2 linked regions of the Oryza sativa Japonica Group genome follow. The protein of the gene in region 1 binds, or shares a complex with, the protein of each later gene. Links are inferred from orthologs where the notes say so. Each region holds a gene or a part of one and is shown on either strand. Other genes may lie near its edges. The genes, in order: protein ACCUMULATION AND REPLICATION OF CHLOROPLASTS 6, chloroplastic; plastid division protein PDV2.

Evidence for each region.
Region 2: the proteins of protein ACCUMULATION AND REPLICATION OF CHLOROPLASTS 6, chloroplastic (region 1) and plastid division protein PDV2 are in contact, whole or in part, in a crystal structure (PDB 5GTB), measured with the Arabidopsis thaliana proteins. The link is inferred for Oryza sativa Japonica Group from reciprocal best matches to the Arabidopsis thaliana genes ARC6 and PDV2. Residues at the interface, in NP_199063.1 of Arabidopsis thaliana: Trp686, Gln687, Lys690, Phe694, Arg710, Met711, Ile714, Trp715, Arg718, Glu721, Thr722, Leu725, Leu727, Tyr729, Tyr731, Glu753, Leu756, Glu758, Ala760, Leu762, Asp764, Val766, His767, Asn770, Ala772, Thr773, Asp774, Arg776, Tyr778, Thr780; in NP_028242.1 of Arabidopsis thaliana: Glu287, Arg288, Val289, Glu290, Ile291, Pro292, Phe293, Asp294, Ala298, Lys299, Arg300, Asp301, Val302, Thr303, Tyr304, Gly305, Tyr306, Gly307.

What each region holds. Positions count from the first base shown.
Region 1 is NC_089036.1:1,186,656-1,190,929, forward strand, and holds the start of protein ACCUMULATION AND REPLICATION OF CHLOROPLASTS 6, chloroplastic, read right to left. Parts: upstream 2,948-4,274; 5' UTR 2,893-2,947; coding exon 2,593-2,892; intron 2,212-2,592; coding exon 1,981-2,211; intron 1,878-1,980; coding exon 1,653-1,877; intron 1,488-1,652; coding exon 1,227-1,487; intron 1,130-1,226; coding exon 265-1,129; intron 31-264; coding exon 1-30. UniProt on the Arabidopsis thaliana protein: Component of the plastid division machinery consisting in a binary fission accomplished by the simultaneous constriction of the FtsZ ring on the stromal side of the inner envelope membrane, and the ARC5 ring on the cytosolic side of the outer envelope membrane.
Region 2 is NC_089041.1:1,208,983-1,213,144, reverse strand, and holds plastid division protein PDV2, read left to right. Parts: upstream 1-1,298; 5' UTR 1,299-1,411; coding exon 1,412-1,648; intron 1,649-2,610; coding exon 2,611-3,267; 3' UTR 3,268-3,482; downstream 3,483-4,162. Other genes in the region: uncharacterized protein, read left to right, coding at 1-75. UniProt on the Arabidopsis thaliana protein: Component of the plastid division machinery consisting in a binary fission accomplished by the simultaneous constriction of the FtsZ ring on the stromal side of the inner envelope membrane, and the ARC5/DRP5B ring on the cytosolic side of the outer envelope membrane.

The sequences.
Region 1 (4,274 bases):
TATGTACTGGATCTTCATCTAGTGCAGGATCTTCAACATTCATCATGCAAAAGTTAACTCTCTATGATATACATTACAGAATTATAGTAGCATTGTGTATGTATGAGACAAAAATATTTGATGTATAGCTTTGTTAAAACATTAATGCAAAGCTATAAGATCAAGAACATACTGTAATCAGCCAACAAGGATACCCAGTAAACACGTGAGCAGTAAATTCCAGTGTTGTTTGACTACTTTAGCAAATGAAAAGCATTTACTCACCATCAGTAGAGTCGACACTATTAGCAACTGCCACAGATCCATGCTCACTCCTAATAGCAGAAAGGGGCCTCTTACGAGGCAAATATTTGGCCCCAATTACTGCCAACAGTGCAAACAGTGCGCCAGCAGAGATAATCTTCAAGGCGGCATTTCTCGAATCATGAGCAGGTGCATTTTCCTGGTCAAAATTTTCAAGATATCCCCCAGGGCCATCTTTAGTATTTTCCATGGCTGACCTGTCTAACTGTTCTATCAATGGAAAAACCTTGTTGAACGCTTGAATAGCATTTGATTTCACAGTACCAAGTGCAGCTGTAGCTTGAGCACCAAGTTTTGCAATAGCAGCAGCAGCAGCCAAATGAGAAGCACCACCACCCTCCATCCTTTCTAGGTAGCTTAAAACTTCTGGATCATCGTAGTAATCTCCAAGTCTGAACTGCATGCCCCGAGTATCTCTGCTCCTAGGAAAAACCTCAAAGATAAGCCAAGTCTCCAAAAGCTTGCACAGCCCTGGAAGAAGATCATTCTCTTCACTGATGCTAGAGTTGGTCACAATAAACTCTAGAATTTTGGGGTCTCTGTATGGTGAAGACTCATTATCAATTCCAAGCCACATTCTGCACTTGCTAACATCTCCGACTAGCAATGAGCAGAATGCCCTTTCCAATGCAAGGTCCATCTCATTATCATAAGCATAATGAGAACCTATGTTGAACTTCTGGAGTTGTTCAAAAAGATCATCCGCCATCATGATGAATTGTGGCCTTTTACTTATAATTGCTTGAGCGACATGTGCAAGTGCTACATTGTAAATTTCAAACCATTCAGGAGGAATGCTATTCGGTGTTTTTGAAAAGAAATCCATCTGGGAGGTGTAACAGAAAGGGAGTTAACATGTTTTCAAAGATGTGCTCCTGCAATATAAATAGGCAGCTGCTTCATAAAAACAAACATGTACGAACCTGTTCAATTGATGTCATCCTCAAAAAAGCCTCGTTCATGAAGGCTTCACGAGAAAATCCTCCTCCAACGGTAGCAATACCTCCTCTGCCAACGCTCCACAAAATGTTTCTCGCACCTTGAAGCCCTTCTTGGCGCTTCTTATGATGCTCTGTGTCAATAGGAAGGGAGAGAAGCTCCAATACACAGCGAGGTGTAATCTCCTCGAGAGTTTCATCAATCTGTGAAAGCAGATCAGGTGCGAGATTGCTTGCTCCATCTTCCTACAGTATGAAGTTCCTATTAATATTGCTTCAAGGAAATCACCATTCTTATTAAAAAAATATAGCCCATGTGTCCCAAACCAATCTTCACAGGGTTATTTAATCTTATCCTATTCAAATATAAGCCCAATGAAAAAGTAGGGAGTAAAAAAGCAAACAGTTCACCTGCAAGAGCTTGAGAGCCCTCTCGAGCACCTCGCAGCAGCCAATTACATCTGGAGGGCTTGCTGCCATAGCATCCCTTGATAGATCCACATAAGCCAGAGCCATCGCTAGCACCACGTCCTGCTTGAAGCGCTTGGGTGGCCGATCCAGAAGCAACTGTTCTCCAGTTACAAGCACAGCAAGTGCCTCCCCAGCCTCCTGAAGCGCACACAACACACCTGGAACCTGCTTCACAAGACACCCAATATATTATAAGCAGAGAGAGATTATACACTAGTGCTATTTGACAAGATCCAAACACACCCTTTGCTGCCCCCTAAAGCCTCACCTTGTCCCAAGCAATATCCATGGTGAGAGCTTCTTCACGGTTCTCAGAAAGCGCACGATCATACTGAGTGCGGGAGTTCTGGTTCATGAGAGTGTCATGGGCAATCTGCAGCATTTGTCGACGACCAACAAGAGCATCCGTGCTGTAGCCATACTGCGGTGGCTTGGCTATCCGTGCCTCGAACGCCCTCCTGATGCCATCGCCAAGGAAATGTGGCTCTGCCCCTAGAACCTGAGCAAAGCCAGATTCAACAAAACATTTCGGAAATAGTCAAAAAGGCATGATCTCTCACTAGCCCCACACACACATGATATAGGCATAATTCGTATCATAGTATGCAGTGGATCACAAATGCGATGGATTCGGCATTGTAGTCAGTTAATAACCTAGTGAAGTGACACTACGGAAATAGCAAATAACTCGATTTCATGGAACTGAGGGATCAGTAACCTAGCAAAAGACTTGCAGGTGGAATAACGTTTCAACGATTTAGCAGTGACAATGTATCATCACCTACCAAGAAGGCAAGAATCATGCGCTTTTTTTTATCTACGGGATGATATTCCGAGGTCCAAATGATGAACAAACCGCAGCAGATTCACGGGGCCTCACCTTGTAGAAATCGACTTGGAGCGGGAGGGAGCGTTCGGCGGCGTCGGGGAAGAGCGGGACGAAGGGGGAGGCGGAGGGCGCGGCGGCCGGGGCCGGGGCCGGGGACGGCGGGTCGGAGGGCGCGGCGGTGGGGAGGAGGTGGAAGTCGGCGAAGAGGCGTTCGGCCCAGCGGCTCGCGGCGCGGCAGGCAGCGGAGGGGTGAGGCGGCGGCCTGCGGCGCGGGCGCGGGCGCGGGCGAGGGAGGGAGAAGGCGAATGGCGCCGAGTTGGGGCGGGCGAGGAGGTTGTGGAAGCCCTCCATTAGCCGCCGCGGCGGCGGCGGCGGAGATGGAGGGGGCGGAGGAGAGAGAGGTTTTAGGAGTGAGGGGGAGAAGAGGGGGAGCCTTGCTGGCTTTGGCCCTTGTTTTTTTTTTTGCTGTTGTTTTCTTGTTGCTGGATGATCTGGGTGCATGATTGGAGACTTGGGCACTTTGGGAGATTTTGCTAGGTCCAGTATTGAGACACCAATTTCAAAACTAATCTTGCTAAGTCTAATATTTTAGGGTGTGTTTGAAAGGAGAGGAAAGAAGAAGGTTAAGGAGATATGCAAAGCGAAGTGAGTCATTAGTGCATGATTAATTGAGTATTAATTATTTTATAGTAAAAAATAGATTAATATGATTTTAAAAACAACGTTCCTACTTAAAAAATAATAAAAAAATATATTGTTTAAAACTTCAGAAAGCGTGCGCGTAAAGAACAAGGGATTTTTTTTCAATCAATCAGATGCAAACAAACAACACATTATAACCTCATGTTCAAAAATAGACTACAGATTTAAGTCTCGGATTTTAAATTTTGGTTATATTTAATAAGCTAACAGGCATATGAGGAAAGGCTAGACTTTGTTTAAGAGCCAAGTTTTTTACTGGTTTGGAGTCGGGTGTGAAAGTGGAAAGGCTTGTTTAAAGTTGTAATCAGTTTTGGTTTGTTTAAAAGCAAGGTTCTTATCGAATGGTTGTTTGGGTTGAAGCTTTTTACCCAAAGCCCATCATCTTGCTAATTAGACTAAAGGCTTTCAAGTTTCAACCAAATATAAGCAAGAGATCCTTCATCAAGTCATTTAAAGGCAACTTTGGCTGATCAGTTTAAGCATGTTGATTGACACTTTTTAGATTACAATGCTACCAAGTGACAAGGATATACCCCCTCCCCCACCCCACAAAGTTGACGATGTTGGGCTATGATGGGATATCATCAAATCCTCCATCTAAAAAGTGGCAAACCATCAAACTCTCATGTTTCAAATGTTTTTTTTGGCTTAAATTTAGATTTTTGGGGGCTAGTTCTTTTCAGGTCAATGGATAAATTGATGATGAGTTATATTACTTCACAGTAATAATACTTGACGACAAACGAACGGATTAACTATTAAAAAACAAAAATATTGTTTTAGAAAATATTATAGGAGAGTGAAACTCATATATAGAAAACTTTTGCAACAATTACACTGTATAAAAACTTACGAAGTGTGTTCGTGGTAATTCATAATCCATAAGAGAGAAAAAGGGACCCTTAAGAGTTGATTATCCATGTCCATTTTCTCAAGCTCAAGTTACAGATGACAACAATATGTGAATCACTTATCTCTACAGAAAATGCACCGGGCATACGTAATTAAAGTCATTATGATTTACCTCATTA
Region 2 (4,162 bases), on another chromosome or scaffold:
GTCGAGTGGGCCCCCTACCGCCACAGCTTCCGCTACCTGCTCGCCAGGGACCTCGCCTTCCCCCACCTCACCTAGCTCACCGATCTTGGCGTCCGCCATGAATGGCTTGGCTTGAGCTGTGTCAAGCTGAGTCTGAGTGAGTGAGATTAGAAGAAGATGATTAGTTCATGTGTTGATAGATTTGGTTCTAGGATGTTACACCTAATTATCTAGGATTGTGTTTGTGTGTGTGGGGGGGGGGGGGGAGAGAGATTAATTGAGCTGTGCAGAGTGTGATCTGTGCGCTTGTAAAGATAAAATTCTTTTTTATTTTTGTAGATACAGAGAGGAAAAAAAATAGAGGAAAGTTGAGACCAAGTGTCAGTTCAGTTCAGTTCAGTTCAAATCTTTAATCTGAAACTGAAAGAGAAACATAAGTATCGTTTAGTTCAGTTCCAGTTCCAGACACAGTTCAGAAATTCAGATTTGAATATGCAAATCAAAGTCGCCCCCTTTCGTTTCAAATTCCTTCTACGATCTGTGCGGGTTTCGTGGTCACCGCCACATCCAATAACATGACATGCAGATCCTCTGCAGAATTGCTGAAACAGTAAGCAATGGATAATATGAGGGTCCGGATCCACACAATAGGTTGAGTTCTTTGGGTTGTGTTTCAAGTGGCCAACTCACCTTCGTTTTTCTCGTGCACGTTTTCCAAACTAGCATATACTTAATTAATCATGCACCAAACAAAGAATCATATTAATACATTTTTTTAAAAAAAATAGCATATACTTAATTAATCAATCATGTACTAATAAGTCACTCTATTTTATGTGTGAGAGTAATTAGCTTCCAACGATAAGCAAAGAACACAGCCTTTAGTGTCTACTACTACATCAGCAGTACTGCAGACAATTGAACACAAAATATGTCGTGCGCGCTCCTGCTGATGGTGGCGACGGTGGATAGGACCTTTTCGTGACTAAAATGAAAAATACAGGGACTGAAGCTTAGGGTGATCTAAAACTCTAAACTTTCCATCACATCACATCACATAAAAACTTTTCTACTCACATAAACTTTCAACTTTTTTTCCAAACTACCAACTTTCCCCAAACTTCGGAACTAAACACAGCCTTAAAAATCCAAGAGAGGGATGATAATGAAAATGTTCTGTTCCGATGGACCAGATCGCAAAGCAGCCCATCACGAGAGTATCAGATCGAACGGCCAGCATCGACTCGGGGCCCACCTGCAGGCGGATGTGTCATGCAAAGCTTCGGATTCGGATACGCCCTCGGCCTCCTCACCACCACAGCCACGAGGAGGAGAAGACGACGCGCCGCCGCCACAGCTCGCGTCGCGTCTGCGCTCTCCTAGCGCCGTGCGGGGGTTTAGCTAGGGTTTTCCGCTTGCGGCGGCGGCGGCCATGGAAGGGGAGGAGATTGGCCTCGTCCTCGCCCGCGCCTCCGACCTCCGCTCCAGGATCTCCGCCTGCGTCGCCGCGGCCGGAGCCAGGGAGCCGCCGGAGGGCGAGGGCGAGGGCGGGGAGGCGGTGAAGCGGCTGTGCGATGGGGAGGAGGGGGAGGAGGAGGAGGAGGTGGAGAGCCTGGTCGGTATCAGCAACGCGCTCGAGTCGCTCGAGCGGCAGCTCGCCTCTCTGCAGGTCATTCTCATCTCATATCTATTCTTGGTGTTTCGTTCCATGTGTAAATATGCTAATCCTCATTTTCTAGTAGAGATTGAGGCTTGCATTGAAGATTGTGGGTTAGTAATTTTGTACTGCATTATTACTTTTCATTATATAATATACTCCGAATGATGCAAATCTATAATAATCGCATAGTAGAAGGTTTATGAGAGGGGAAAAGATAGATAGGTATCAATGCCATACTTGCAAATAAGGGCATTTTGAAGTTTGAAATGATTAAAAACAAATGATATTATCATAGGAACAGGGTATGACTGGAGTGACTGTGCAAGGTGTGCAGAGCGAACGAAGTTGCTGTCCATTAGTTAAGCTCATATACCAAACCTGCCATTTCTTAGCTAGGAATTTCTCTGCTTTCGGGGGAGAAGGGTGCTTCTGGTAAGAGGTGTGATGAGTTGTTGGGATGCAGATTTTCACTTTTAGTTATAACCAAATGGCCAAATTTAACTGTAAAACTTGTGAATCCTGTTTACTTGCTTTGCTGCACTAGGTTGGTATTTAACTATTTAAGATGCATCCCTTACTATTGCTTGTGTTAGTGAATTTCCTAAGAACTAGGATTGGCTTCCATTGCATTATCCCCATGAGTTTGTTTAGTTCTGTTATTTATTTCCATCTGAGTTTAAGTTTAAATAAGTCTTCTTCTATCACATTGAATTGTTAGGACTTGAATGTGTTCTATTACAATCTAGATTGCCATTTTTCATTGCTAAATATTTTGCTTTCTACTTCCTCTGTTTCACAATGTAAGTCATTCTAGCATTTCCCATATTCATATTGATGTTAATGAATCTAGATAGATATATATGTCTAGATTCATTAACATCAATATGAATGTGGGAAATGCTAGAATGACTTATATTGTGAAACGGAGGGAGTACATACTAAATGCCTGAACAACTTGCTGCCACTCCCAGGACCTCCAACACCAACAAAGATATGAACGAGAGACCATTTTGAGCCAGATTGATCGCAGCCGAGGATGTCTTCTTAACAAGCTCAAAGAATACAAGGGGCAGGACTGTGAAGTAATACATGAGGCTGCTTCTTTTGCTGGTGAAAAAATTGAACATGATGATGGTCTCATGCTACCTCCGTACTCAAATCATGTCACCAATTCGTTTGTTCTTGATGATCTGTATCCTCCAAGTTACTTGGCCAAGTTAAAGTGTATGCACAACGGATTGGGTTCTGGTGGGACTAACCAAGATGTTACAAAGACAAACAGGCTGGAGAACAGGAATGGTAGCATGCCAAACGGCAATTCACAAGGAGGAATTAGATCTTTTGTTGGATGGCTTGCTAAAACTGCAGTAATGGTTGTAGGTGCTGTATCTATCATGAAGGCTGCTGGTTACGAGCCAGTGATAGGAAGACACAGCATAAAATTGGATATGGCAGGTTTGTTCAGTAAGGAGGCAACCAGTGGAAAAGATCAGGCTACTGTCCAATGCCCTCCTGGTAAAGTAATGGTTCTCGAAGATGGCAGGGCTCACTGTGTTGTGAAGGAAAGAGTCGAGATACCTTTCGACACCAACCTCGCCTCTCCAAATGCAAGTTATGGGTTAGGCTGAAATTGGGCTTTTGTCAATATTAGGATTTAGCTAGTCTTTGAGGCCCTTTATATGATCTTCTGTAGAATGTGCCGAGCACACTTGTCTAAAGATTGAAGCCTATGTATTATATCTATCTATGATCGTCCATGTCTTGCTAATTGCCCTCGTTGGTGAACTCCATCAGTATGCTGCTCAGTTGATACCAGTATTATGTCATCAGCAGTTTGGTTTCATGTGTTGTGTATGTTGTCTCTTGTATTGGTGATGCGGTGGAGGGATAGATGGCGATTTTACTCTCTCCGTCTCAAAAATTGAGGAATTTTGGTTAGAGGGTGGCATATTCTATGAGCATGTTCAGATTCTAGGATGTGTGTCATTCAACCAAATCTTTTATATTTTAGGATAGGACGAAGGGAGTATGTTAGTACCTGTCATTGTATGTCTATGTCAGGTCCTGAAGGCACGGCATATTGAGGCTCGAAAAGGGCCAACCTGTGCCTTCGAAGCTGTGCAACAAGAATCTGAATCCAGCACAAAATTTCTCACCAGGAGGAAACAAGGTAGTAGTACATGTTTCTGACGATCCTTTCGAGGAATCTCATCTCTTCGCTGTCATGTGTCGTAGTAGAATCGCTGTGTGAAGCACAGGAAATTAAGCTGTTTGCTGCCAACGGAATGAAGCTGCGTATTACAGTACTTACATACAAACTCTGGTGCGCATATGCTAGCTGCAGAACAGCAATGGCAGTTCTTTTTTTCTGAACTTGGTTAATTTTTATTTCCAAATAACTTATTCCATTTCCAAGTGAAGGAACTAAGCTAGATGGATGAACGAGTTTCCATCAAGTTACAGCACAGTTGACAGGATCGATCGAGTTATACATTGTTTTGAACAGCAGGTAAAAACTCGTGT